Linked DNA regions of Tamandua tetradactyla. The protein of the gene in region 3 interacts with the protein of the main gene of each other region in a pairwise test. Links are inferred from orthologs where the notes say so. Each region holds a gene or a part of one and is shown on either strand. Other genes may lie near its edges. The genes, in order: TBC1D22B, GOLGA1, VPS52 and AIRIM.

Region 1 (7,748 bases), about 5.0 Mb from region 3:
CAGAAAATAGATTAGTGGTTACCAGGTGCTGGAAGGAAGGAGTAATGGGAAGTGACTGCTAAGAGGCATGCATTTCTTTCTGCGGTGATGGAAATGTTTTGAAATTAGTGGTGATGGATGCCCAGCACTATGAATACCCTTAAAAAAGCAATGAATTGTACACTGTAAAAGGGTTTTATGGTATGTGAATTTCATCCTATTAAAACTGTTATTTTTTTTTTAATAAAAGAGCATTTATTTCAAACAGAGTCAGGAGGTTATCCTGGAGGTTATTCTTATACATTATATAGATATTCTGTTGTAGTTTATGGTGAACTGGAGTGGCTAGAAGGACCTGAAACTGCTGAGCTGTGTTCCAGTAGCCCTGTTTCTTGAAGACTGTATAACTATATAGCATTTACAACGTGACCATGTGATTGTGAAAACTTTGTGTCTGATGCTCCCTTTATCCAGGATATGGACAGATGAGTAAAAGAATAAGGATAAAAAATATATAAATAATAGGGGGGATAAAGGGTAAAAATTGGGTAGATCAAAATATATTAGTTGTCAATGAGACGGAGGAGTAAGGGCTGTGAGATGAGTTCTTTTTTTCTCCTTTTTATTTCTTTTTCTGGAGTGATGCAAATGTTCTAAATATGATCATGGTGAAGAATACACAATTATATGATATCGTGAGCCCTTGATTGTATAATATGGTTAGACTGTATGTGTGTAAATATTTCTCAATGAAAAAACGAGGCATTTAATTAATTTTGAACCTAGGTTATTTTAACTAAATAAAATTCCTATTGTTGTCATTAAGGTCTCTAGATCCTGATCAAAGAAACTGAAAGTTTCTGAAACTTTCTGAAGTACCCTGCCATCACTTTGATTTTTTACCTTTCAATCTGCAGAGTAAACTAGTCTCACTTCTAGAGTGTCATGATCTTAGCATACAGCCATTTGTTTCATTTCTCCACACAGGAGAAAGGTTTTTTTCACTAAAACTGAAAGAGTACAGATGTAAAGTTCTTAAATCAAAGCACCTTTCTATCTAAAAGAACCTTAATTGTCTACCATAAACAGGGGTGTCTGGGGCTTCCCTGCTAAAAGCTCAGACCTGAACAATGTTTCTCTTCAACAAACAAGGCATCAAAAAATCTTATGAAGTGTGGCAACAATTTAATACCTTAAGAATAAACAATAAACCCTAATACTAGGGTAAGAACTTGAGAAACAAGCTTTTAAGTTTACTTGCTCTAACAGTAACAGCAATTTTAATAATTACTATTTATTAAGCAACTGTAATATGCTATATAAACTCTCTCCTAGATTCTTTACAAATACAGTATTTCATTTAGTCTTCACAATAACTCTGAGGAAGTTACTGTTATCCTCATGTCACAGATAAGAAAACCGAGGTCTAGAGAAATTAAGTATTTGTCCTTGGTGGCACAGGTAAATAAGAGACGAGGTCTTTTTTAAATCAAATGGTCTACTCTATTCCTCTACATTCCTCTTTAAAGTGAAAAAAGAAGTCAGAAACTTGAAGAAATTTAATAAAGACTCTTCTTTCTATCTCACAAAAGCAGTGCTTTCAAAAAGTTGACTGTTCCTATAGTCCAAAAGAGGAAGTGTGGAAAACAAAAGATCATTAATAGCAACCAGCAGTCAGTAGGCACAAAAGACCATGCCATGTCCAAAGCTCATATACTCCTTCCTGATTTAACAGTTTTCCCTTTAATTCTGATTACTATCTGAGGATGTCAAATTTTAATGATCTTACTATGGAAAACCCCAGAGAACAGAAGTTAGCACAACTGGAGAGCTCACCAGATCAGGAAGGAAAAGGAATCAGTTGGCAGGAAGTGGTGCTTATCTAAAAACATCAAAAGTCTTTAGCACTAATATTAACACTGTAATTCCACAGCATTACAATCCGAAGTTATCTTTGCATTATTTTAATAATGTATTACTAAAAGTTGATTCCCATCCTATTCGCTATAGGTCTAACAAGATCCTAATAAAATCAGACTGCTACATAGTCATCACTGGCCCTCATTTCTCTCGTTAAAAAGGCACAAATTCGAAAAAAAGTAGTTTAGAAGGTCTGCTCTCCAACTAAACTGAGGAATGAAAGAATTCAGAATTAGTACGTTTGCACACGAATATTACCACGCAGGGAGGAGGGTGGTCTGTAGGCAATGGACAAAAACCTGAAAAATGCCGGGAAAAAAAAAAAAGCCCCGATTCTAGGGTCACCTTGTAATAATTCCTAATGGAAAAGGGCCGACTTGAGATAAAGTACGGTCGGGTTGGAGGATTTTCCTCACTTTTTTTGTCCCTTACAGGCAGCCCGAGCTCCTACCAGAACCTTTTACGAGTCCAGGAGAAAGATTCAAACGTGTGGAACTGGGAGAATAAGGGAAGGGGCTATCCTCAACGCAAGCAACCACCTGTGCAAGGTGACGACCCCCGGAAGGGAATTCTGTTCAAAGTGGGAAGCAGCCCTGGGATGGTCATCCGAACCCAGGGCCGACACTGGCTATTCATCAAACTCCACTTCCCCTTACACCCGGTCTGCTCTGAGGGCAGGCACCCCCTTGGAGACCTCCGCCCCAAGACCCCTGTCTGCCCCCACACTCAGCCGTTTCCCAACTCCTCTGCCTGACAGCAGACCTGCCTCCCCCCGGCAGCCCCCGCCCCCCTAGAGCGGGTTTCCCCAGCCAGCCTTCCCGGCTCGGGGGCGCCCCAGGCCCGCGGGATTTAGGGCTTAGCATCTGGAGAGGTTTGATCCAATCCCCTCTCCGTTTCAGGGTCCTGGGCTCACCTCCCCGGCAGCTTGGCGCTCCTCTTCCAAAACTGCTTGCTGTTCTCGGCGGCCATGGCTCCAGCCCGGGGAAAGCGCTGTAGGCGGGCCTAGCTGGGGGACCCGGCCAGACGCCCCCAGACCCGGCAACCGGAGGGCCAACCCAGGCCGCTTCCCCGCCGCCGGTCACCCGCACCCAGCGCCAGGGAGCGCCATCTTGGATGTGGGCGCCCCTCCACCCAGCGCCGCTGCCATTGGTGGGCTGCAGAGGCCGTGGACGCACGGACCAATCGGGAGCCCGAATCCTGCATGCCCCTGAAGGCGATCGGCCACGTCATGAGCCGGGCATACAGGTGGACGGGGAAGGCGGAGCGTGAACAGGCAAGAAGGCGGGGCTGAAAGTTGCTACCTCCGGGAAGGGAGGAGAAGCAGGTAAAGAAAGGGACCTATGAGAAAGATGAAGGGTTCCGTTTTCTTAGGGAGAAATTAGGTCTCTCGTGTTTCTGAGTCTTATATATATATATGTTTTTAAGAGAGAGCGTGATCTGTATGTATGTATACATATAAAAAATCTTCGACCTAAAAGTCAAGGACTCATGTGTTGATTATGGCCCATTTTTAACATCTCCCGACTCAGTAACACTGTGATTATTATCTTCCCCTTCCAGGTTCTGTTTGGATCCCGCTTATTTATCTGTAAAGTAGAGTCAGTACGGATCCAATAACTGAGTTAACTGTTCTACACGTGAGTAACGGTTATTTTATCAGTCACCCTGGCCTCTGTTAATTGCACTGTGAAAGGAATTTGTTGTAGATGAAATTCGAATGATTTAATCCCTGTTTCAATCAATAATTCTGATTTTCTGACTATGAGAATCTAGATACTAAAAAACAGTGTTTAGGGAATGTTCTTATTTTATCCATCCAATTCAGACTACCACATACTATTTCTTAAGAGGACATAGTATCCCTCTATAGTGTAAATCACAAAGAATAAGGATGTAACCCCAAACATCCTTAATTTCCCTTTTAGTCTAGTATAAATCATTCACCCTTGAATTTATTTTCAATCTGATTTTGACTTAGAATAAGATTTAATATTATCATTTTGAATCTTTTGAATGTCTTCTTGGTGGTTTTGCTTTTTTTTGAGTTTCCCTGGTTGTATACCATGGGAATATTTACATGATGAAGGGAGGTCCAGAGTAGTTTTTGGAGTATGTATTGGAGTATACTTAACGACCTCCTGTCTAAAGAAGGACCTTCTTTTATATGTTTTCAATGGCCACTTTCTACATAGACTTTATCCCCAATGCCAAGCTTCTTTTGACCCCTAATTTTAGAATTATGGGTTTGTATGAAAAGGGCTATTTTTAGTCTCCTGAATCGTTCATGCTTTTACAGACTTTCATCTTATCTTCTCTCAACTAGCACCTTTATGGGCCTTAAATCCATTAAACAAAACCACCTCTGTCTTTTAAATCACTTTAGCCGCCTTTCTATGGCTCTTTTTCTTAGGATGCCGTGGCCAGCACTGCACAGTGAGCCCCCAAATGGGTGGATTTTTGTTGAAGCTGATGTTATCTCTTTATTCTGGACATCCAGAAACTTTGCTGGCATTTTTGGACTTTAGAAGAGTTAATGTCCTGGTGGAATAATCTACGGCGACTTCTAGATTCCTTTCCTTGGTGGTACCTGGCAGTTCAGAGTTCATAACATTAAATATATCATCTGAATTGTCTTTTCTTACGTACACTGCCTTACACTTGTCCACATGGCAAGACACTTGCCACTTTCCAGCATCCTCACATTGCATTAGAAATGTCCCAGAAGATGTCCCTATTGACTTGACATTTCACTAGGCAGAAAGCAGAATATAATTTGTGTGCCTATGTCTCAAAGTATTTCTTTTTCTTAATCATTTATGAAATGTTAAATAACACTGATTCCCAAGGGATGCTATTAATATTGTTCAACACAAAGAAGCTCTGTTATTCTTACTCTGTTTTCTACATCTGTTCTAGTTTGCTATCTGCCGGAATGCAATATACCAGAAATGGAATGGCTTTTAAAAGGGGAATTTAATAAGTTGCTGGTTTACAGTTCTAAGGCCGGGAAAATGTCCCAATTAAAATAAGTCTATAGAAATGTCCAATCTAAGGCATCCAGGGAGAGATACCTTGGTTCAAGAAGGCTGATGAAGTTCAGGGTTTCTCTCTCAAGTGAGAAGGCACATGACGAACACAGTCAAGGTTTTTCTCTCAGCTGGAAGGGCACATGGCAAACACGGCGTCATGCTAACTTTCTCTCCTGGCTTCCGTTTACATGAAGCTCCCCGGGAGACATTTTCCTTCTTCATCTCCAAAGGTTGCTGGCTTGTTGACTCTCTGCTTCGTGGTGCTGCAGCATTCTCTGCTCTCTCCAAATCTCTCATTCTCCGAAATATTTCCTCTATTATAGGACTCCAGTAAACCAGTCAAGACCCACCCAATGGGTGGAGACATGTCGTTACCTAATCCAGTTTAACAAGCACTCCTGATTTAATCACATCTCCAGGGAGATGATCTGATTACAGTTTCAAACATACAGTATTGAATAGGGACTATTCTGCCTTTACAAAATGGGATTTAGATTAAAACATGGCTTTTCTAGGGGCCATACATCCTTTCAAAGCAGCACATTGTCCGTACACATTTTTGGTTGGGAATTGTTAGAGAAAGCATGTCGCCTAATAGGACGTGTCCATTTTACCAAAGATCCTATAAGCTTGAGTAAACCTTTGGTTGAAGAACCATCTTCCTCTCTTGGGAAACACAATCTTCTTCAAACTCTTTTGCAGCTTCAGAAGAATATACTGGAGTGATATAAGAAGGAGACCACCTACCTACCCAGGACTCAAATCTACACTGTATATCAAAGATTATTTGTTTGTTGTCTGTCTCCATCTCCTGCAGCCAAATTCACACCAAACATTGCCCAGCTAGAGGTGAAAATTACTGGTTTAATGTTCCCAAGGTGTCCTTGGAGCCTTTTTGATGGAAGATTTTTTTTTTTGTATGCTGTGTGGTGGGGGTCACATTTCATTCCTTTTTCAGTGTGAATGTCCCATTATTGCAGCACCATTTGTTGATTTGGGGGGGTGGGGGGTGGGGGAGCACTGCATAAGCCAGAAATCAAATCTGGGTCTCCCGCATGGCGGGCAAGAATTCTACCACTGAACCACACTTGCACTCCCTTGATGGAGGTTCTTAGTGGCAGACATATATGTTCACTAGACCAATGCTTCTCATAATTTAATGTACATACAGATCACCTGGGACCTTATTAAAAGTCTAGTTCTAATTCAGTAGGTCTTGGCTGGAGCCTACAATTCTGCATTTCTCCAGAATTCCCAGATGACACTCATGCTGCTGAACTGTGGCCCTCACTTTGTAGATCTTCTCTTAATAGCTCTGTGATCTTTGAATTTGTCTGAAGTGTTTAATTATTTTGAAACCAAGTCAAGGACTCTCCTTAACCTCATCTTCATTCATAATAAGAATTAAACAACTTAGAATGGAGCAAAGTGGAGTTAAGGGAATGAACTGTGCAGGGTTTGTACTAAAAAGAGGTCGTATTTCCCAACGCTTAGGGAAAGTTTTATGTAAGAGATGGGACATGCAGGAAAAGAAAGAGAACAGCCTGAAGAACAGTAGAGAGGTCATTTCAGAGCAGATGCTCCGTGAGGAAAATAATAAGAGAGAATAAAAGCCTTTAGACTTAATAACAAAGAGTGCTGGTGGACTTTAACCTCAGTAAAAGAATGAAGTGGAAGGATGTAGACACTGTGATGACAGGAAGGGTTAAGAAATTAGGCAAGAAACAGCCCTCATAATGCACTGTAGAATGTTGCACCAACAAAGGAATGGTGAGATCAAGCTGGGATTTAAGGATAAGAGAGCTTTTTTGGTATCTAACCAACTAGAAAAAGCCAAATGAAAGAAATCAGTCATATTGGAGAAGGCAAAGGGATATACGAAAATCTGAAGAAGCAAGAATTTACTGAAATAAAGAAGGGAAGACAGAGTGATTAGAGCTTGGGATGTGGGTGAAAGAAAGATTAGGTACTTTGTTCTTAGGAATTTATTATATTAAGTCAAAAGGAGGGGGGAAAGCTCTGTGCATAAAGAAGTTCTGCACCTTATAACCAATAATAAATAGTGTGTATGTGGGGGGGGGAATATAATATTAAGATTTAAACATGAGGTTGTGGTTATACAAATTATGGTATGTGGTTTATAAATTTGATGAGCATATTGTGCCATGAAAAAGTGTTGAAATAATGAATTGTAACAAATGGAGCACACTAATGCAAGGTGTATATGGGAACTCTATTTTATGCATGATTTTTTTCTTCAAACCTTCAACTTCTCTAATAATTATATTTAAAAATGTTGAAAGCTACGTAGCACGTGGAAAAGGATTATAGTGTGATGTAAAGAGAGGAGACTGCAGAATGCAAAATACCATTGCTTGATTTCAATAAAAATACATTGAAATGTATGGTCAAAGACTGGAAGAAACATGGGAAATTAAGCAATTTTTGTTAGATGGTAGAATTATAGATCTTTTTCTTCTGGAGATTTTCTTTAATACTGCCATAGTTTTTATTATTGTGAAATATATCAGTTATGCAATGAACCAGGGGTTGGCAAGCTTGTTTATAAAGGGCCAGATAGTAAATATTTTAGATTCTGCAGGATATGCAATCTCTGTTGCAAGTCCTTAACTCTGCCATTGTAGCATAAAAACAACCATAGACAATAGGTTAATGAATGAGCATGGCCGTGTTGCAATAAAATGGCATTTATGGACATTGAAATTTGAATTTCATATAATTTTCACATCACAAAATATTGCTCTTCTGTCCATTTTTTTTCAACAATTTTAAAATGTAAAGACCATTCTTAGCTCATGG
Region 2 (7,447 bases), on a different chromosome or scaffold from region 3:
GAGACACATGTTCAGTTAAAAAAAAAAAGCAACTCCAAGAAGACTACCTATGATATAATGCTCTTATAAAGTTCAAAAATTAGCAGCACTAAGCAATAAATTGTTAAAAAGGAAGTGAATAATACACACAAACTTTAGGATAGTGGTTATCCACAGAGATGGGAAGGAGAGAATGAATTAAGAAAGAACATACAGTAGCTTCAAGAGTATTGATAATGTTCTATTTCTTCAGATGGGTGAAGATTAACAGGACTTCATTTAATTTTTATGCTTTATACTCTATATATACATTGTATACATTCTTTTATATTTATCAGGCATTTTTTTAAGTCATCTGATTTAAGAGGATCCCGCCACATGCCAAACACACTTTAATCCTTAGGCATGACAGTTCCCTAATACAGCAGCCTCCTCATTTTCTGGAATCTCTCCAACCACAAGGGTACTTTAAAAATAAGAGACACGTGGTCATCCATGACATCTTTGACAAATTTCTATCTACTTTCCCAATAAGACAGTACACGCTGGCTAACCTCATACCACAACTCATAGACCTAGTTAAGTAGGGAGAAAACAAGTCCAGGCATTTTGAAAGATTAAATGTAAAAGAAGATGCACAAAGCATATTGATGGAAAAGAACTATAAGAGGACAGCGTAGAGAATGTGGAAAGGGACTCACAGAAAAATAAGAAAATGATATAGAAAGGCACCCCAGAGAAAGAAAAAGCACATGTGAAGGTCTTGTTCAGCTATAAACTACAAAAGCTATGAAATAATCATGCAATTTAAAAAGAAAATATTTCAAAAATTTCCTGCAATATTATTTAAACATTAAATTGAGAGGGCACCAAATACTCAAAACTACCAGGGAAGATACTTACAAAGTCATCTCCTGAGTCAGCTCCCAGAGAGGCAACAGATTCCTTGCTCACCGACCGGGGGATCCTAGTAGCACCTCCTGGTCTCTGAGCAACAGCACTCTCTTCTGCGATTTTCTTTTTTAGTTTTGCAAACATCTTTGCTATGTGGATATTCTGCACTATAGACTGGCTCTTGAACCACCAAATAGTCCTTAAGGCCAACAACCAGGATTCAGTGACAGGTGCCTAAAAAGTTCCAGACATCGGAGCCAGCTGCATTCCCATTTAAATGTGTGTAAAAGGGCTTATGGCAATACAGTATCTAGAAATCAGATGAAAGAGACAACTCTAAGTTAAACATTGGAAAGATTTCAACCTCTGAAATCTGTTTCATATTTATGTTAACCTTCAGGTTTCAAAATTTAGTCTCATAACTTCACATGTACTCTTAATAGACCACAAATACTAAACATTTAAAAAAGCACTCTGGTACTTCATATGCATACAAAGATACGGAAATCCAGTCTTAGAGAGATGAAGTAATCCACCCAAGATCATGTAGCTAAGTGGCAGAGCTGGTATCTGAATCCAGGTCTTTCTGACTTACAAGTCCCTATTCTTTTTTTTTTTTTAAATAATTATTATTATTGAAAATAATAATAAAATGGCATGTTGGCTATAGCATACAGCTATAGCATTTATAGAATTTCCCACGATAAACATAGCATCACATAACGCTTTTAAATCCTTCCCTCAATAAAACTAATTTGTTTAATTACACTTTGGTGCCTTTTTTAAAAGATGAGAATAAAAATATATGTAACTCAATATGGGGAAAAGCCTCTGTAACAGAGGCTAACAACCTAGAAAAAAGCATGGTCGATTTTGCATAGGTATCAGAAATCCCTAAACTTTTCTTGGAAATGTTGAGTGGTGCTCTTTTGAGTTTGATGAAATTAACCCAAATCACACTTTTCTTTTCTTCAGAATGTTTGAAATAATATTTAACATCAGATTAATGCATCTTTTCCTCCCACTGATGTATAAAACACTACTATTCTTGCTTCAATCTTAATTTTTCATGAAGGTTGTCTAGGTTCTGCTCTAAGATCTACAAATGATTTTTCACCCCTTTAGATCATCCACTTAAGTCTGTGCAATTTTTCAAAACTTGACCTTCAATGTCTGTAAACCACCTACTCACCTAGCTTATCTACTAGATTTAAAACAGCCTGGAAGTCAAAGCATTCTGTCCTGCGTGAAAACAAAGACAAAATACGTTGGATATTTCCTTTCAAGTGTGAGGCCTCAGTATTTGGGGATGGTGGGAAGAGGGAGAGTGGGTTAAGGGGGAAAAAATCCTGTCATTACCACCTTCAGTAGTCTAACCTCCCTTACCCTAGTCTCTTTGCATTTTTAATTTTCTTAAAAGCTACACTTATGGTACAAAGAATCTCTCACTGCAGTAGGTCCCTAAATTCACTTCTCGTTGGGAGCCCTGAGCAAAACAACTTGAAAGAGATTAAGGTTTCCCAGCTGATTCTGACAGTCATACATCATTTACCTGGCCAGACCCTGGGATATATGGTCACTGACCTTTGACTCGCACTAAGAAAGCCGCTGAAAAAAATGGCAAACTTGGGTAAACCAAATGCCCAGAGAGGCAGGCAGGTAGGTACCTGACCAGGGCCACCCGTAGCAGTTTGAATCACACTCCTTCACTCTCTGGAAACCCGCCAGGGTTTGGGGCTGTCAAACAAGGCTGGGGCCCAAAGCCTCTTCCTTTTGACAGCAGGGAAACTGAGGCCCAGAGAGGCGGAGTGACTTGTCCAAGGTCGCGCAGGGAGAATCCTGGATCCCGAGGCTCTGGACGCCCAGGCCGAGGCAGCCCGCCGACACCACCCTCGCCCTTTCAGCACCCTGGTAAGGCCCCCTGCCCAGGGTCTCGGGCACCCCGTCCGGACCGCTCTGGCGGCAAACCGAGGCCACAGGGCAAAAGAGGGGCCTGCTCGGTACCCGGAGCCCCCGCCTGCGCACCTGCCACTGTTGGGGCAGCCGACAAAGCCCCGCCTCCCGGGCCTCTCTTGAGCGCGGGACCGCGTCACCAGCCCCCACAGCCAGCCGGCCGGCCGAGCAGCGACCCGGAACCGCACCTCCACCAGAACACCGGAAGTCGTTGCTCGCGCATGCGCTCGTGCACTTACTCCGGGGCCTTGGGTGCGAACTTTCAAGCGACGGTTGGGCCGGAACGGCCGGACTATGCAGGTTTGGTATCTGACGCTGCTTACAGCCTGCAAGCGACGTCAGCGAGCTGTGGGGTACACAGATTACGATTGTTGCCGAGTAATTTCTTCCCTTCTTTTTATTTGAAAGTTGTGCGGAGCGAGGAAAGTATGAGGGTCTCGTGGTAAAAGGGAAAGAATTTCACTGGTGTGGTAGGGCTAAAGTCGGCTGTGCTGGATAGAAATCCGGGGCAACAGGGAGCTTCCATTCCATTCCTCTTCGCGCATCCCAGTCCACTGCATCTCACATGTCTGCCTTGTCACTAGGTAGTACATAATCACCGACTGTCTGTGCCTCCTTCTTCTGGAGCCTTTGCTCCAGAAACTAGTAGTGGGAACTTGCGCCTTGTACTAGTGTTTTAACTTGTGTGCTTCTGACCTACTATAGGTTGTACATTTTATATGGCAACCCGGAACACACATAGTGTATACCTTTATTATGTAATGCACTGATACACTATTAAAAAGAGAAGTGGATGAGAGTCCACTTCATTAATTTTATTATCCACTTAATTGTTCGAAGTTACACTGCAAACTAGTAGCGGACGTGAGATCTGACTCCTCAGTGCCACGCCAAGCATTACAAGTTAATAGACATCTTGTTCTTGCGTGAGACCTAAAGCCAGTCCGAGGGTCAGCAGCTTCCACCTCTGGCCTCTGCTTGTTCATTTCTGAGCACTAGAAGCAGGACAGGGAAAAATCAAGACCAGGACTCAGAAGAAATTTACAAACTAGAATAATAAGCATCTAATCCACAACCCTAAGATAGTTCAAAGCATCTCAAGTATTGTCTGAAAGAAGCACACCATAACAGGTAAGTGTCTAAGTCGTCAACAATACTGAAGTACCAAAAATTTAAGCAAAACTGTTTATTTTTATGTTGATGATACACTTATATATGTGGATTCAAGATACAAAATTCATTTACAACAGTTCACATCTGATGAATGTAGTCACATTCCAAGAGAACATTTATCAATGCAAAAATGACTTCAATACACTGACAACAAAAATCAAATGTTGTATAATTTGTTATTCATTAAACCTCAAAACAATTTTTAACTTTCCATCCTCTAATATAAAGCGCCCTTGAGGTGGCAGGCACTATACAACAGAAGAAAACATTGGAAAGACAAGGGCCTACTGAATCTGCTCTGCAGAAACAGTGTTGACTCTGAAATTCATTTAGTAGTTACTGAAAGGCTGCTGTCCTTTGTTACATATCACATATCATACAAAAGTTGAAACTGATGAGCTCCAGAAAACAAAATGATTCAATAACTTCTCAATATCTAAAACCTATTAAGAATTAACCATAACAAAGCAGAAAAAGGCTACTGTAAAGGAACAAAACAGGAAACATCCTTGTTTAAGAGTATGTACGGTTTAAGCAAATTAGAAACAGGAGACAAGATTTTACAATACCACAAATGTTCAAGTCAAATGCTATTGCCAATATAATTTCCCCTTTAGTCAACAGTAGTAAATAGCTCCTTCAAAGTTTATCCTACTGATTAATAACATGTATAAAAATGACTGAATCCAAATGGTTTGCTGTCTAACAGAGCTGAGTTGATGGATTTTGTTCTAAAGTATTAACCCACAGTGTTCAAATTTTAATACAAATGAGCAACAAGGTAATGTCAAGGTAATATTACAGTGATTGGCAAGAGCTGGATCTAAACAACCAAGCTTCATTATTTGCACTACAGATTAGCAGCACTTGGATAAGAACTGTTAAGAGAAAATGATTGTGCTTCAGTCTCTTGAGGAGAACTAATGTAACTCTATAATCCTTAAAGTATTACATCTCAGTTACAGACAAGCACAATTTTTAAAAAAGTATTTCACACCACCAGAAAATCAAGGAACTATATCCTCCAAATGTAATTTCTGCTATGATTTAAACAAGTGCATTTCTGCCTGATATCCACAAGGTACAAATGGGTTGCCATTATTTTCAAGGAAAAAGAGTTCAAGCATAACTTATTTTAACTCCTATTGATTATCCTAACCTTTGGTGATGATTTGTATAAAGCAAAACAGTACTCAACCTTACGGTGAAAATGGCTCAGAGATAATAGTAATGTGGCCTGAAATTAAAATAATCAGTGCAAAATACAAAATGACTTAAATTGCATCATGTGATTCACTGATTAATGAAACCACTGTCTACACTGATGCTACATAATGAATATAACTTATTTAAATAAATTCCTTCACTGATAAGCTGTATTATGAAAATGTTAGGACACTGCATCTGCCTTTCCTATTATCTAACACCTGTCTACCTCATCTGGAAGAATCCTCAAAAATATAGGACTCTGATTGTTGAATAGAAAAGTTTATTTCAAAACAAAAAGCATTTGGAGAACTAACCATATGGTCTATGTGGCAAAAGGAATGCATCCAGATAACTATAAAAAACCATGAAAATCAAGTTCTAAAATATTTTACTGATCATTAGAAGTTCTTTTAAATGATGTTATAATAAAGAATCAAGAGTAAAAACCAACTTATTCTTCAAGAAATAGTAATAAAAATTCTTATTGCCCTAAAACATTTTAAACATTTTTCCCTGAAGATTTTTAATACATCACAATACATACTTCTAATTTAGAAAAAAATTAATAATGTGCAAAAGAGGATGGGATTCTTTTAAAATACAGTGGTCATTCCTCTATGTTTTGGAATTATTTACTTTGGGTTCATATACGATCATTTCACATTTTACAATGGTTGATCATACTGATTTGATGTTTGAGGAAATTTATGGTTCAAGTTATAATGTTTACAAATCTCAATTTTCAGCTGTGAACAAATAGACATTCATAAGAGCTTCAAAACAGGATATTTAAGTAAAAAGACAAAATGTTAAAGTTTACTGAAGTTCTGTGGAAAGGCTAGCCTTAATTCCTTATCTTACTCAGAAATTGAAACAATCAGTTTATCAACTTTTATTCTGTAAGACTACCTGAAAAGAAAAAAATTTTTTTTTAAATCTGACCCCTGAAATAACTTATGTTATGTCTCAATAAACAATTAGCCATACCTAAAAGGATGACTGTCTTAGGATATAGACGGCTATTGTTCATTTAAAATAGGAAAAATACTCCCAATTTATAGTCAATTCTAGCACCAAATTCAGGTTTAACTAAGTGGATCTGGAGTGTATACTTAATACAGTGTACTTCAAACTATTTAAAAGTCCTGAATCTACTGTTTGACTTTGTTAAAACTTGCACTACTTAGAGTAGTTTGATAACTAACTTTAAAAGCACAGAAGAAAATAAAAATATTATAAAATTAAGAAATGGATGTTTAAATCAAGTTAAGTAACAATGTTTTGTAGAAATGGAAGTCTTCTTAAAAATCAATATTACACAAAACTAGTAAGTGAAAAATGCCTATTTTAACGAAAAAAAAATTTCATGTCTACAGCTATGGCAACAACAGATTAAGTTATACTTAATATTATCCCCCTACATCATTCTGATACTCTTCTCTTCTAGGTGACTGATTTCAGTCACACATCAATGATCTTTTCATAAACACAAGACATGCTTAAATAGATCTCTGTGTTCAAAACTTAATGAGGCTAGGATATGGTGTAATATTATGTTTTACAATTCTGGTTTTGGAGAAGATGAATTGTTTGAAAAAAAATGCAAAATGCACATAGTATTCAGGAAAACTGGGAAGCCCAGCAAAATAAATATAAATATCAATGTATAAGTATACAGGAGATATAATAAAGGAGGGAAAGTCTTGATTTTCTAATTCTTATCTCATCTGACTACAAAGTAACTGGCTTTACAAATGCTAGGGTTGGAGATCATATTCACAATGTTAGCCTTATCTACTGAACTTTTTTACTGCTGCCACTCTCCTGAAATTAATGTGCACACTGATGCTAAGTCAATTTAATTAATTTTTAATAGCATAACATATCCTCTGTTACTCTCTAATTGCAATAAATTTTTAATTAAAAAACAGAATATCAGACCCTGGGATGTTTTCACTGATTTTTCAGAAATAGTACATTATCAACATTTAAGAAAATGCTATTATAAATTTTATTTTAAATTTATTATTGTAATTTATAAGTGTTATGAGTTAGTGGCTGTTTTGTTAAAAAAAAGTAGAGTCGAATCTAACATTTTTGAGGTAGTAAAACTCACTCCTTAATCTCACTACTCTATTTTAAAATAATTTAATAATTGGGCCAGATATATTTAATATTCTTAAGAATAATGGGGTAAAAAGTTGCTTTGCTGTTATACGTTATCACAAAAAATTTTCCA
Region 3 (7,154 bases):
CTGGTTCTAGCAGTCTCCAGGGAATCCACCCCAACTCCCACCTTGATCCGAAGCCGGTCAAGCACGCCTCTGACGTCTGCGCAGGCTGCCGTGCCCCTAGCCTCTTGCTCTCTGACTGCAGCTGCCTTGGCATCCAGTTCCTGCAGCTGCTCCAAGAACCTGGGCTCTGTCACTGGAGCCTCAAGAATTGCCCTGGACAGCAGGGAGAGGTGGGATGAGTTAGGAGGGAGACTCAGGAATCCCTAGACCAGATCCAGATTATAATCTTTATATCTAGCCTCTGTCTCATTTACCTTTTTATATGTACAAATTTTTCTGTTCCTGGATCCCCCATATAAGTCTTGGGCCTCCACACTACATATCTGACTTTGGACAACTCCCAATCTTTAAAGTCAAAACATGTATCAATATTAGAGTTGTCAACCTACACACCAACTTCTGATAGTCATTTGATGACCTAGATTGAGGAGACCTATTTGGTAAGTGGGTAGGTCATCCCAGCCCATCAACCTGCTATAGATACTGTGACCCTTGAAACTGGTGACTCACGTGACCAGAGTAGAAGGCACCACCAGACCATCGACAAGCTCCCCAAGTTTCCCTCGGACTGCCTGGCGGTTTCGAAGCCGAATGTTCATGGCTCCTGACTGTTCCTGCAGTGTCCGGATCTCAGAACTAATGGAGCTGAGGTCACTCTGAAAAGCTCCCAACATCTGTTCCATGCGCTAAGAGGGGGATGAAGATGTTTCTGGAGTGCCACAGGGTTTTAATTGGACAACCAGGACACTTAAGTCACTTGATGAAGTCCCCAGATGATGAAGAGGTACCCCAAAGGTCACAAAGAAAAAACATTAACTCTGACAGTAAGAACAAAAAAGGTTGTGGAGGTCATCCTGAAAGTAACTAACCTGTTCCCACCTGAGTCCAATAACCCAGGGAATGGCACCAGAGGCTATGGTCTAGTTTTGAGTTATGAGGAGTGAGGTCATGGTTACTAACCTCAAGAACAGCATCACAAGCCGTGATCTGGTTGTGCAGAGATGCTATGTTCTCACTCTCTTGAATATCTGACCCAGAAAAAGTCAAGGGTCCTCATGGAAAAGATGGAAAATCCTCAGACTTGCAGGACCTCTCCAATTTCCTCAAGGTGACAGAAACCTCAAGGAGAAGATCTCAGTCCTGGCTGGGCTGTCTGGAACACACCCTGCAAATCCCAATGTCAATAACACTACCCCTTAACTCTGCTGGAGGATACAATCTCGAATGGATTTCTGTTCAATCTGCTGTAGCTCCAGTTCAACCTGCTTTGAATAGTGACGGAGATCCACACCCTGGGAGAACATAAAGATAACTGGTCAGGAGAAAATCATATCAAAGGAACATTGGCACAAAATCAATGAAGAACTGGAGGGTGAGTCATCAGGGTGATGTTATGAGAGAAGAAGGGTTGTTTTCTTTTTCTTTTTTCTGGGGGAAGGGTAGGTAGAGGGGCAGATCAGTACAGTGGAAAGCCTCACCGTTTTAAGAGCTTCCTTTACTAACTCATCTTCCAGGTTTGCCTGAATGTGAACTGGAAACAGAAGTTTATCATAAAGGGCCTAACTCCATAGCTCCCTCTCCCAATCCTGAGAATCTGCGTACCAATCCTTGCCTTATTCCTTCCAGTCCCCATGCCTCTCAGGTTCTACACATGCTGACTTTCAGTTCCACATCCACCTCATGCCATCTCTTACCATCCACTTCATCCAGGATGAACTCATCCGAGGTAATGTCCAACTCCCCAAGTTGCAGTGGTTCCTGAAGCCCAGGACCACCCCCCTGGAGAGGGACAAGTTAACGGGAGATGGTACAGAAAGAAATATATATATAATACAAGTACATCCCCAACTCCCCATGTGGAGGGAAAAGCCTTCTACTGAAGAGCCATAAGTGCTGAGTCAAAGAATTTCAAGAGTCTAACACATTATCCCATCTATTACTTGGAGCTGATGGATCGGGAACATAACAAAGGAGGCAGACACATGACAGGCTGGAGGTGTCTGAGTGAACAAAATTAGGAGTTGCGGAGCACTCCTTGCAGATGAATTTAGATGGACCCCTGCCATCTCGGATATTCTATCACAACCCCTTTGGGGAGCCTCAGACTTTCTAAAAATGTCAGCAAGCAACATGCCAGATGCCACTGTTCATTGATCTAATCCTCCCGACAACCTATACCGTAGGTAACATTATTTTCTTCACTATATAGGTTTGGAAAGTAATAACACAGAGAAGCTAGTTAATTTGCCCACAGATACACAGCGTGTGTCAGAGCTGGAATTCGAACCCCGGTAGTCTGGCTCCCGAGATCACGCTCTTATCCTTTACACTATACACAAATTAGAATTGCTTCTCTATTTTGCCCCAAAATCTGAAAGGAAGTTGAAATTGTGCCCCCAAAACCAGAGTCTTGCCATTCTGTTCCCCGCTCAGGTCTGATCCCAGGTACTGGTTATAGGCAGCTGAATAGGTGGTGTCACCATTAGCAGCCAATATCCCACCCTTGTGCCTAAACCCACCCTAGGTCTTTCTGATGCGAGGGCAGCTGTAAGGCGCCCGGGAAGGGAAAACAGCCCCGAGCTCTCTCACCAGCAGGCCCTCCTCCTCCTCCGTATCCGCAGCACCCGCCCGCAAAACCAGTTCTCGGGCGGCTGCTGCCATGGTCGCAGCCGCGGCCATTCCGCGCAGCCTCACTTCCGGCAGCTGTCAGTCTCTGCAAGTCCGTTCCCGGGAACTGAACTACCAGTCGCAGAATGTCTGTCACAGCGCGAGACCGTTCCTAGATATTTAAGTTAAATTGTTTTACTCCAGCCTTCCCTTTCAGTTATAGTCACTTCAGCCATGCGTAAATGGGAGTGCGGAAGTCTTCAAGACAATCTCACTCCGGAACCTTCGCTACTGCCACAGCCAAAAACTTTACGGACTGTAAAGAGGAGACCGCACCGGAAGTTTTGACCCTCAAGCCAACCACTCAGAGGTCGAGTCTCCTGGTGCGGGGAAGTTTCCGGAAGTGTTTCTCCCAGTTAGCTCCACCCTTCCGCCTAATAGCTATATAAGTATATTGTGTCACTTCCGCTCTCTCTTCCACAGAGGCCTACACGCCGCTGTTTCTGTTGCAGCCATGGTAAGCTTGGAATTCGTGCCCGGATCCGATAACATCGGAACCAGGGCAGGGAAGATCTGCTCTCAGAGGACCGAGAACACCTCAACCTAGGGGACTGCAGCTTTGTGTGGAGCCTTGGATCGCTTCCCTGGGAAGGGACGACCAGAGACTTCCAATTCTAGAGAGCGGGGCCCAGTGAAGGGTCGCTCCCCGGGGGCACGAAAGCGGCGAAAAGCTTGGGCGTGTGGGTAACCTCCGTGTCCGCCACGCGGAGTGTACTTTTGGGAACGAGGAGGGGACCTGAACTTGTTCTTGTTTGCAGGACTGAGGAGTTTGCTGTGTTGTGAATCTGAATGGGGGAGGTCGTTGCTCCCTCTGTGACAATCTTAACATTTTTGTTTGAAGTTTTTCGTTCGTCTTAGGTGCCTTAATGTGATCCTAGTCATGGTGTCTGACTTCTCCCCCAATCTCTTTCAATCAGTCTCTAGTGATCCCTGAGAAGTTCCAGCACATTTTGCGAGTACTCAACACCAACATCGATGGGCGCCGGAAAATAGCCTTTGCCATCACTGCCATTAAGGTAAAGTAGGGTAAGGAGTAGGGAATATAAGTGCAACTTGGGTTGTTAGATCTCAGGAGGCATGGTTGAGGAGATCCAGATCATGCTGGCTGCTGGATTAAGAAAAGAAGCAGTTAAGTGAGGGACTAATACTCTTAGCAGGAACCAGCAATGTTAAGACAGGGTAGTTTGAGGTCAAGCCAGAATGTTTCACCTGGTGGATGGGGGTATGATTGTCTGCTTGAAATTGCTAGAGTTTCTTCAGGCATTTCCTGAGCTTTTGGCTAATGAGATCCATGCTAGATTTAGTTCACTTTTAATCCCCAACTGCATCATATCAACAACTGTTACTATTAAATAAGTGTGCTCTGAAAATTGGATAATTCTCATACATCTTGAGTGAGTAGAGATGTCAACAATGTCAAGTGTGAAGAAACCTAATTTAGGGGGCAGGAGAGGTGTCACTAGTCCTGAGAGGGACATTTTACAAAACTCAGATGCCAGAGGTAAAAATAAATGCTGCTTTTCAGCTCAGGTGGGAGGCGCAAGAAATGGTTAAGTACAAGCGGAGACATTCTGCCTATCATTTTCACTAAAATTTGTAATTGTGGAAATAGCTGAGTGTCTTCCTAGCCTACCAGTATATGTATACTCCATGGGGTCAGGGCACGGCCTGTGTTCACAATCCCCAGGTTCTAGGGTATTGCAGGTTCTCATTCAATATTAGGGAATGGGTGGTACTAGGGAAACTTGCCTGATTTCAAGGAATTTCAATTGGCTAATAATTCAAAGAGGGGATACAATTTAAAGTTGTGAGTCCTAGCTTTGACGTACAAAGTCCTGCAAGATCCCTTGATTTTTTTTTCCATCTTTCTTTCGATATTTGTAATAACTTTTTATTTGATATTTTGAGAATACACACAGTTTTGATAGTTAATAAAATGGTGTTCAAGATAGTGTTTAGTATTTAGAATTTAAGAAACTCTGATATCTGTATCCATAGATTCTTTTCCTCCCTTGCTTCAGTTTTAAATTGGGTTATGGAACACACTGTACAAACAGGCTTTAGAGTGATTACTTAATTTTTTTTTTAAATATGCCTATGGATAAGCTAACTAAGATATCCATTTTAGGTGGTTAAGATTTCCATATGTTAATTGTAAAAATATTTGTATCTTCTTATTTTCCTGAAATCATGAAAAGATTTAGTTACATAGGTTATTGCTATGGCAATATAGATATTTGTGAGAACTCTACTTGATACTTTGAGGACATTCACAGTTTTGACAGCTGATCAAATGGTAACTAAGTTAGTGTTTAATACTTAGAATTTAAGAACTTTGTTGTCTGAATTTGTAGTTCATTTGTTCTTTAATATAGAAGCTTAAGTTCTTTCTATTTGACATTCTGTGAAACTAGTAAGGCAGTGTTGGCTGCAGGAACTATTGCAGTTGCGGGGGCAGCTTAAGTGAGATAGTGAATGTGAGCGGGGGCAGCTTAAGTGAGATAGTGAATGTGAAAAGTGGGCGTGGTTGGCAGGAACACTGTTAGCCCTGTCCTCTGCCTCTTTGAAATTGACTGATACTGTATTTGTTACTTCTGTTAAATGTGTATCATAACGTTTGTAGTCGATTTAGATGCGTGGAAAAACTGAATTTAACCAAGGCAGTTTCAGTTACTTAGGAGAGCCTGTGATGAGATGGATCATGCTCAGTGAATACTGAGGAAAAGCATCTAGCCTTGTGAGAAAACTAAAGGTTCGAGGTGCTCCTTTACAGGTCTGGGAAGGGTGGTGTAATACTTGGAAACTGGAAAAAAAGGTTGAGTAAGAAAAGGGATGAGTATGGGGAAGAATTCCTCAGAGAAGTTAAAGAAAGGAGTAGAGAGCAAGATTAGCCAGGGAAGGGTGAAGAATGTAAATATTTAAATGTAAAGAGAACAAACTCCCACAGATGCACCATTTAGCTAAAAATTTTAAATCTTGTTTCATCTATACCCCTACCCATATTCCATGTTGAAGCAAGTCTCAGATAATAATCTTTTATTGGTAAATATTTCAGAAAATTTGAGAGTGACTTAAAGACCCTAAACTCTTGTGAAGCAACCTCTTGATAATTTGGTTTCCTCAGTCACTTAACAGAGAGGAAATATCCATTCGTTTCCTTGGACTGCCATAACAAATTACCTCAGATTGGTGGCTTGAAACAACCAATTCTCAACAGTTCTGGAGGTCAGAAGCCTGACATCGAGGTGTGTCAGGAGGACCATACTCCCTCTGAAGACTATAGAGAATGCTGCTTCCTCATAGTTTCTGGTGATTGCTGACAATCCTTGGCATTTCCTGGCCTATAGCTACAACTCTGAACTCTGCCTGTTACATGACTTTCCCTTGTGTCCTCTCACAGTAATCCAGTGTGAGCTCTTCTTAACTGATTATATCAGCAAATACCCTGTTTCCAAATAGGTCACATTTTGAGGTCTTGGGTGGGTGTAAATGTGGGGCCTGTGCTGTTAAAGCTGATACACCATCCTTCACTTTCTACATCTCTTGGTTCATGAATTGGGGTGGTGGGACACCTGTGCTGGTGTTGGTGTCATGGCACCAGTGTAAGCATTAGTTTCTTTTGAGTTTGATTTGAGTAGGTAGTTCCCAAGGGCCTGGTCATCTCTGGACAAATGACAATGGTGATGTTGGAAGACTTTGATCATGGGGATCCAGTGACCTGCAAAAAGAATTTTGTTTCTTTTTTTAATTCAAGAGTAATGTGACTTTATTTAGAATAACAATAATCATCTAATCAGTAATCATTGGCTCTGTAACAGGTCTAAAGATGTTCAAAACTTTGAAGTCCAAAAAATATATAGTAAGAATATACAAGGAAGCAAAAATAGAAAAACAGTAAGTTTGCCAAGTATTGGGAGTTATAACAGGAGGAACGGAATCCAAATTATAAAGCATATAGCAACAAGTTTGCTTTGTCTACTCTCTAGAAAATAAGTTGGTAACTTTAGTAACGTATCACCAACTTTAACTGTCACCATTTTGTCAACAGGACAAGCTTCCTGAAGGACACAAGGAGTAATTTGTTAGATTTTCTTTAATTTCTCTATTCACATCAATTTCTTTCATTTAAGATGGATTTGGTCTCACTGAAAAAATAATCTTATTTTTGTTAAATATAATACTGAAAAAATAAACAGAAATGGGTGGAAAATCCTAGGATTTACTGTGACCTAGCCAATCAAAAGTAGCCTCATTGTCTTTTTGGGTATCACTCCACCCATTTACTTGTGGAGTGAGCTATAAGGTTCCAGGATGAGAATCTGGTTTCCAGCAGTGTCCATGGCTGAAGGACAAACTCAGAAGGTATCCTCTTGGGAAACTGGAACACAATCTTTGAGTAGCCCTTTGCATACATTATCCTATAGAGCTCATAAGCCATACTACCCAGA
Region 4 (7,883 bases), on a different chromosome or scaffold from region 3:
TCAACATCATTAGCCACCAGGGAAATGCAAATCAAAACCACAATGAGATACCGCATCCCACCCACTAGAATGGCTAATATTTTAAAAGTCACTAGAATGGCTACTATTTAAAAAGTGGAAGATTACAAGTGTTGGAGGGGATGTGGAGACTCAGGCACTGTTGGTGGAAAAGTAAAATGATGCAGCCATGTGGAAGAGAGCCTGGCGGGTTCCTTAGAAAGTTAAGTATAGAACTACCAAATGACCAAGTGGCAATCCCACTTCTATTTAAGACTGAAAACAAGGACTCGAACGGGTATTTGCACACTAATGTTAACAGTGGTATTATTCACAAATGCCAAAAGATGGAAGTAACAAGATGAATGAATAACAAAATGTGGTATATATACAATATTGTGAAAAAGAAATGAAAATCTGATGTATGGCACAACATGGATGAACATTTAAGACATCATGTTAAGTGAAATAAGTCAGACACAAAAGAACAAATATTGTATGATCTCACAGATGTGAAATAATTAGAATAAGCAAATTCAAAGTCAAAAGCTAGATTATAAGTGACCAGGGGACAGGATGGGGGTAGGGAAGGGAATCAGCGCTTAATGTGCAGTTTCTGTCTGGGATAATGGAAAAGTTTTGGTCATGGATGGTAGTGACGGTAGCACAATACTGTGAACTCATTTAATAGTACTAAATTATGTACGTGAATGTGCTTAAAATGGGAAATTGTAGGTTGTATATATGTTACAAGAACAAAAATTTAAAACAACAATAATATGGGACCATATGATTCAAACAGTGAGCCTAATGTAAATCATGGACAATTTAACAACAGTACAATTGTAAAAATGTTCTTCCATCAATTGTAACAAATGTATCTCACTAATGCAAGGTGTAGAGTGGTACATGGAAACTGTATTTTATGTGTGATTCTTCTGTAGACCTACAACTTCTCTAATAAAAAAGACAGCATAAAACAAACAAAATAAGCCTTAGCTGTGACACCTACTAGGTTTACAGTATAGCTCCTCGTTGCTTTTCATCAAAAAAACTATCAATTAGTGCTGATAAGCTTCCTCCACTCCTTTGATACCAGCTTTTCTGTTCCGCTTTTGTGACCTCAACTAATTTCACCACTACCATATTAGCCTCTGACAAGGAAAATGTCTGAAAATGGCTTTTTGACAAAGGTCCAGCTAAGCAGGCAGAAAAAGAAGGATGAGAATTCTCTAATGTCATACTCTCATGTAAGGAGATAAACACTCTCTGACAGGTGCTGGCTACTGATCAAACACCCAGATTCAAAATATTTCTGTGAAAAATTCTGAGCCTCTTACATCCTCTCCCCGAGCTTGTCCAGGACAGTGTCACCAGCCTCCAGCTGCTTGCGTCTCAGCCGCTCCTTCAAGTCCGGGAAGGCCCGGAGCGACGGCACCTCGTTAAACCGCAGATTCTGAGCGGCTTGTAGTTGCTCTGCCAAGTTGCTGAGGGAAGCCAGGAGGGGCTGGCAGTCCCTCAGAGTACTTTGCCACAAGCTGTGCTGCGCCTCCACCACGGGAAAGCACTTCTTCAGGGCCTCCTGCACAGCAAGAGATGCCCGGTCCTGAGTCATCTTCTGCTGAATACAAAAGCAAAAAACAGAAACAAACAACAACAAGTGTTAAGGTCCCAAGTCAGAATGGGGAGAACGGGGTCAAGGGTGGGAATTATTTCGTCCTCCTGTGAGGTCAAGCTCTTGGCTTCCACCCTCCAACCAGGGGGTTCCTCACGCAGGTCTGTCTATCCCTTCAGACCTGAGCTCCCGGCGCGAAGCGTTGTCTTTCCTTCACAAAGGGCTCTGGGAAGAGTCCCTTTTGTTTGTCACCTCGAGCAGGGTTTCCCGACTATCTCTCAGAGGTAGGTCAATCTCCTGGCTCAGAATGCGGGTTCCCGGGGCAGAAACTCTGTATTCCCCTCAGACCGATGCTCCCGGATCCGGAATCTTATCTCCCCTCCTTGAAGCTGCCTACCCCTTTCCCTAAACCAGGGGGAAAAAACCTAAAATTAAGACAACCAAAGATACGGCAGCCGATGGGACAGCCACCGCGCGCTCGCGTCCTTCTGCACCCGCCCCAAAGCGACCTCCCCGAGAGCGCCTCACTAGACCACCTGGTCTTGCGAGCCGCGGACGAGCGTCGTCGGCCCGCAATGACTTCTGGGTGTTGTAGTCCCGGGCGCGGACTGGCCGCCGGATACTGGAGCTTCCTGGTGATTGGATGTTGTGGGACCTTTCTAAGACGGCGACTCCTCATTCGTTAACCTGGGGAAGTTGGATTTGAATTTGGTGGCGGCGATTGTAGGTCCGGTTCGCTTCAGAGCCAGTCCGTCTCAGCCGGAGCGAGCAGGTTTACCTCTGCCCTTGTTTGGGGACCCGCAGGTTCGTGCTTTGCTTCTTCTTTAAGCCCGGGCCCGGAAGGGAGGGAATCCCCTTTACTGACTCCCTTGGGACGCTATCCGGCCTCCCCCCCCCCCACCCCTCCGCCCCGTCGCGGCCCCCTTATTTCCCCTCTCTCTACTGCCCCACTAACCTCTTGTGACTCGGTCCCCCCTCCCCGTAGCCTCCACCCACCGAAACGTCATGGCTCCTGCGAGGAAGGGCAGCAGACGAACCACCAAGACCAACTCTTTGAGGAGCCGGAAGCTCGCCTCCTTTCTCAAGGATTTCGACCGCGAAGGTAAGGGGCACAGCCGGGTGGTCGCGGCTTCCCGGGCGATGGCTGGGCCCTGGTGGGTTGGGGAGCAGGGAGCAAGATTCCAGGCCCCTTTCACCCGCCGGGTGACCCGTATCCTGTTGATTCTGTCCTCTCGCAGTGCAAATGCGATCCAAGCAGATTCAGTCAGACAGGCAGAACCTCCTCAAAGAGATGGATAACTTGTACAACATCGAGATCTTGCGGCTCCCTAAGGCCCTGCGCGAGATGAATTGGCTGGACTACTTCGGTAAGAGCTGCTGGAATGGCCCTAGGCTTTGGCCTGGATCCCCTTGTGGTTACCGTGACAGGCTTTATAAAGGACTAGCTCGAACGTCATCCTCGTAGTGAAGTCTTCCCTGACAGCAGTTGAAAACTGCAGCCCTCCTGCCCAGCGCCTCTTTATTTTTCTCCATAGCACTTATTACCATCTAATCCATGAGTAGGCAGACTTTTTCCATTAAGAGCCAGATAGTAAATATTTTAGACTTTGTAGGCCAGAAGGTTCTCTGGCGACTACTCAATTTTGGTATTTTACCTCCAAAGCAGCTATAAGGAATGCACGTGACTGTGTTCCACAAAAAAATTTATGGATACTGAAATTTGAATGTCACATAACTTTCAAGTGTCATGAAATATTATTCTTCTTTTGACATTTTTTTCCAACCATTTTAAAATGTAGAAAGCATTCGCAGCTTGCAGTCCATACCAAAATAGACAGGAGCAGTTTGCTGACCCCTGATTTAGTCTAATATATATTTTCTGTATTTATTTTTGTTGGTTACATATCCTTTCACCCTACAACCAGGATTGTAAATCCATAAGGGCAGAGTAAGAATTTTGTCTGTTTCATCTGTAGCCAGAAGAGGAGCTGACAAGTACTAGGTGCTCAATACATATTTGTTAAATGATTAAATGAAAAACTTGGTTTGTTATTAGAGCCCAGGTAGAGGGATAACCCCTAGGCAGTGCTTCCTGCAGATTATGAAAACCGCCAGTTTAAAAATGGCCAAGTCAAATTGTGTAGTACAAGAACCTGAGACTTTTCCTGGCCAGAGGAAAATCTGTCTTTTCCCCACTGCCTTGTTAAAAGTCTAAGGAAATGCAGGAGGCTGCCCTTTGTGCTAAGTTATCCTTAATTTTTCCTCTATTCTTAATTACCCAGTAGGTAGCCTCCTTGGATAGAAATGCAGGTTCTGTGTATGCAGTAGACATGTAATGATCCTTTTAGCTTACTCTTTTAGTCATTTGCTCATTTCTACAAATACTCATTGAGCAGGTATCTGTCAAAATGCTAGGTGCTGAAAAGTGCATTGAGGAATAAAACACACTTGTCCCTGCCCTCAGGAACTGATGTTAGTGGAGTAGGGTCATTTAAAAGTTCACACACTTATTATATAATTAAAATTGAGTGGCAGTCAGTAAGCACATTTGTCATGTTTACTATGTCACACAGGCATTATACCATATGTTTTACGTATGTTTACTAGATTTATCCTCATAACAAACTTATTGATTATAAGCCTATTAATTATTAATATTATCTCTTTTAAGGCACAGAGAGATTAGTTACTTTGCTTAAGGGCTCATAAGCTAGTTAGTGGCAGAATATTTGAACCCAGACATTCTGATTCCGAAGTCTGAGTTCTTAACTGTTATATAGGAAGAATGCTATGAGAGTTTCTAGCAGGAGGGCCCATCCTAACTTATATTCTCTTTCTAAATCTTTGAAAGATCTCTTTGTTAAGCAAATATTTGCTGCACACTTAACATATTCCAGATTTTTGCCAGATACTATGAAAATATTATTTTTGTCCTCAAGGAATTCACAGCCCAAAGCAAAGTTAGATACTGAACAACTTCGAGTAGTTGTTGTGGAGGAAAAGGGTGAGCAACTAACTTAGCTCTTTGTAGCACCCTGCTTTATAGAAACATAAGCTAAAATTTAGGGAAAAGGTAGACCTGAGTTCAAATTTCAGTTCTTTCATATACCAGCTCTGTGATCCTGGTCAAGTTGCTTAGTCTCTTTAGCCTCAGTTTCCGTATCTGTAGAGTAGGGATTTGAGATTGAGTGAAGCATGGTAGGTGGATTGTTTGATACATAGGACAACTTTCTGAAGTGATGACATTTGACCTGAGTTTTAAGGATGAATTAGGAGTTTGCTGGGTTCAGAGAAGTACTGCAGGCAGAGGAAATAATAAGTATCAAGGCACTAAGTCATGAGCGACAGTGGCACATTTGGGAAATGAGAAGCTTAATGTGGTGGAACACAGAGTAGGTCATAATGAATAGGAGGAGAAGTCAAGGTTGGAGAAAGATTAGATTGTAAAGGTTCTTGAATTCTGGCCCAAGGGTTTAATCATGTCCAGTTTTAGAAATAACTGATAGTGTTAGGGAAGGTGAGTTATTGTTAAAATCTGATAGTAACTAAATAAAATGTTCTGTTTAAAGCCCTTGGAGGAAACAAGCAGGCCTTAGAAGAGGCAGCAACGGTAAGTAACCGCTCCTATTTTTTAATTGTTGGTTAGTTTTATCCTTAGTCTAGTCATAAAATCCAACCAATGGTTGCTTGTTGTGGAAGAGATCCATAGGGAACATTATCTGTTCATGTCAACTGAAAAATTGTAGTATCAGATGCTGAGTACATGAAGTCCGAATAGTTCTGAGTTCTGAGTTATAGAACAGATTTTATCATTCCTGCCGTAACTACTACTCTGATATTTGTATGTGCTCTGTGAGGAAAGGACTTGGAATCATGCCTGCTCTTGGCTATACCCATACATACAGGTAGTTACCACTGTGAGCAAATTTAATTAGAATGGCCACTGGAAGCCTTTTTGAAGAAGGCTTCTCATGATAATTGAGAGTCTCAAGACTTGCCAAGAGTGAGAAGTATGACACAGGACCAGGTATTGTAGAGGATCGTTAGGAACTTGTATTGAATATTGAAGCAATGTAAACAAGGATAACCACTTTGAAAAGCAATTTGGCATAATATCAAGGCTGAACCCTTGAATAATCTACAACCCTGTACTGCCCTATCCTTAAGTATATAGCCAAGAGAAAACGTGGATGTGTGCTCCAGAGACATATATAAGACAGTTCAAGGTAGCAGTATTTATAGTAGCAAAAAACTATCGATGGGAGAATGAATAAATCCCTTGTGATATAGTCACACAAACTGTTATATTGCACTGAAAAGAGATTAGCTACAACCACAAATGCAGTCAAAAACAAGCAAAGCAAACAAAATACTTTTTAAGCATGCAAACATTTGGAAAAAATATTAAGTGCATATATAATGTTTGTTGCATATACATACATACATACTCATATGCACATAACACACGTATTTATTTATTTTTATCTTTTAAAGAAAAGGTATTCTATTATTTACTCTCTGAAATAGTCCTGTAAGAACAATATGCACCAAGTTTATTTGAAAGGATTAGCTTCCTTTCAAATACAAGAACTATTTAAAGCAATACTGTAAACAAACTGGTCACATCACATATCTATAGTGCAGGTTTAAGAGCTGCAAATATATAGTTTTTAATCTTAAAGCTAGATATTTTCATTGAAACACAGTGTTTTTACATAGACAAGGTATTGCTAGAAAAGAATTTTTGTTCAGGCTTTATAGGAATGAATCAGTGATATGTTCCACTGAATTAGTGTCTTTATCTGCTTTGATGACAATGGCTGTAGGTAGAAGTGCTTCTGTTTAGCCACCAAAAAGAGACACTCTTGTTCCTTAGCTTTATTCTTCAGTCTTAAGGTTTATTTCTCATACTATATCTGAATCATAGCTAATATTTTCCAGTTTAATTCGAAGAATACTGTAACACATACAGACCAAATTGAGACAGCTTAGAATTCAGAGATCTTAATAATAGAGTACAGAAGAGAAATTATGTGTATGACAAAGGGATAAAAAAATTATTGGCAATCTTAAGCATACCAAACTAATTTTCCTACTCAAAAACTTCTTTTTTTTCTTTTGGCTTTGAAAGGAAAACACTAGTTTCGAGATGGGTTTGGTCTTAGACTTAGTGAGACAAAATAAAAGATATGTTGTTTCATAAGTCACAAAATGACAGTATACATTCCTCTTTTTTTTTTGGAAAAAAGCTCAGTAATCAATACTGGAGAAAATAATTTTCAGTAGTAACAGTATATATAAATAGAGAGGGGAAATGGACTTATTTTAGCATATTGTTATGACTTTCAAGAAACATAAACTTAAATTTACAGAAAATTGGAAGACCAAGTATAAGCAGTGTGGCATTTGCTTCAGTGTCTGGCACTATCATAATGAGTTCTAGCATAAAAGCAACAAGTTCATGGACCTCAAGTATGAGTTTTATAGTTTACAACTACTGTCCTTGTTTCTTTGAAAAATACCTTTACCAGTATTTGTGGTTTAGCTCCAAGAAGTCGTTTAATTTTGCTCTTTCCTTGAAGTACTGAGTTAATTTTAAAAGTTCTGTCTTTATCTCGATTTAGGTGAGCTTTCATAAAAGGTCTTATCTTTAGCTCATTCTATGGGATTCATTAGAACGTTTCTTCCTATGTCATCAAACGTAATGGTGTTTTTTTTTACTGTAAAATCCAAAAACTTAACACCAAGAGGTTTTATGTCGATTAATCCTCTCCTTGAGTATGTACTGTTGACATAGCAGCACTGTCCAACTTGAAGATAATCTTACAGTTTGCATTTTGCTTACTCCCAGTTCTTTCATTTTAGTTTCAATCCACTTCATATTTGTGGCAGGCCAAATAACAATGTCATAACCCTCATATTCAGGTGTTAGGAATTCTTGAAGATAGGGCCGCATTAATTCTAACCTAGTCTCTACACAAGACCTGTGGCCAAATAATGTATAATCAACAGCTAATACCAAAAGCTTTTTCCCTTCCCTGGAGAGGATTCAGAACTTCCACTTTGTATTCTTTAACTCTGCAAGAAATTTTCAGCAGGATTTCTTTCTTATTTTCTACTTCAACTACTTCATCTTCAATATCCAAGTCAATGACATGATCATCCTTGTCAGGTGGTGGACCTCAGACATCTTCCAAGCTCTCCTCACGAGTTCCCATCATCATGATTTCAGTATTTCGTTTCCGTTTGAGAGCTCCAAACGTAGTATCAT

Evidence for each region.
Region 1: the proteins of VPS52 (region 3) and TBC1D22B interact in binary tests that used the Homo sapiens proteins (3 or more experiments, as listed by UniProt). The link is inferred for Tamandua tetradactyla from reciprocal best matches to the Homo sapiens genes VPS52 and TBC1D22B.
Region 2: the proteins of VPS52 (region 3) and GOLGA1 interact in binary tests that used the Homo sapiens proteins (3 or more experiments, as listed by UniProt). The two-hybrid records come from large-scale screens. The link is inferred for Tamandua tetradactyla from reciprocal best matches to the Homo sapiens genes VPS52 and GOLGA1.
Region 4: the proteins of VPS52 (region 3) and AIRIM interact in binary tests that used the Homo sapiens proteins (3 or more experiments, as listed by UniProt). The two-hybrid records come from large-scale screens. The link is inferred for Tamandua tetradactyla from reciprocal best matches to the Homo sapiens genes VPS52 and AIRIM.

The regions. Positions count from the first base shown.
Region 1 is NC_135331.1:94,153,332-94,161,079, reverse strand, and holds the start of TBC1D22B (TBC1 domain family member 22B), read right to left. Parts: upstream 3,020-7,748; 5' UTR 2,869-3,019; coding exon 2,813-2,868; intron 1-2,812. UniProt on the Homo sapiens protein: May act as a GTPase-activating protein for Rab family protein(s).
Region 2 is NC_135328.1:47,074,864-47,082,310, forward strand, and holds the start of GOLGA1 (golgin subfamily A member 1), read right to left. Parts: upstream 3,016-7,447; 5' UTR 2,899-3,015; intron 2,884-2,898; exon of another isoform or gene 2,458-2,883; intron 2,116-2,457; exon of another isoform or gene 2,066-2,115; intron 1,184-2,065; 5' UTR 1,018-1,183; coding exon 883-1,017; intron 1-882. UniProt on the Homo sapiens protein: Involved in vesicular trafficking at the Golgi apparatus level. Involved in endosome-to-Golgi trafficking. Mechanistically, captures transport vesicles arriving from endosomes via the protein TBC1D23.
Region 3 is NC_135331.1:89,201,933-89,209,086, forward strand, and holds the start of VPS52 (vacuolar protein sorting-associated protein 52 homolog), read right to left. Parts: upstream 3,007-7,154; 5' UTR 2,719-3,006; coding exon 2,629-2,718; intron 1,819-2,628; coding exon 1,734-1,818; intron 1,571-1,733; coding exon 1,518-1,570; intron 1,332-1,517; coding exon 1,256-1,331; intron 1,068-1,255; coding exon 1,000-1,067; intron 726-999; coding exon 550-725; intron 193-549; coding exon 42-192; intron 1-41. Other genes in the region: RPS18 (small ribosomal subunit protein uS13), read left to right, coding at 3,161-3,163, 3,624-3,722. UniProt on the Homo sapiens protein: Acts as a component of the GARP complex that is involved in retrograde transport from early and late endosomes to the trans-Golgi network (TGN).
Region 4 is NC_135328.1:187,625,301-187,633,183, reverse strand, and holds the start of AIRIM (AFG2-interacting ribosome maturation factor), read right to left. Parts: upstream 3,007-7,883; 5' UTR 2,980-3,006; coding exon of another isoform or gene 2,851-2,979; 5' UTR 2,715-2,850; coding exon of another isoform or gene 2,618-2,714; 5' UTR 2,609-2,617; exon of another isoform or gene 2,598-2,608; intron 2,519-2,597; exon of another isoform or gene 2,300-2,518; 5' UTR 1,794-2,299; intron 1,619-1,793; exon of another isoform or gene 1,616-1,618; 5' UTR 1,613-1,615; coding exon 1,338-1,612; intron 1-1,337. Other genes in the region: CDCA8 (borealin), read left to right, coding at 2,618-2,714, 2,851-2,979, 5,182-5,222. UniProt on the Homo sapiens protein: Part of the 55LCC heterohexameric ATPase complex which is chromatin-associated and promotes replisome proteostasis to maintain replication fork progression and genome stability.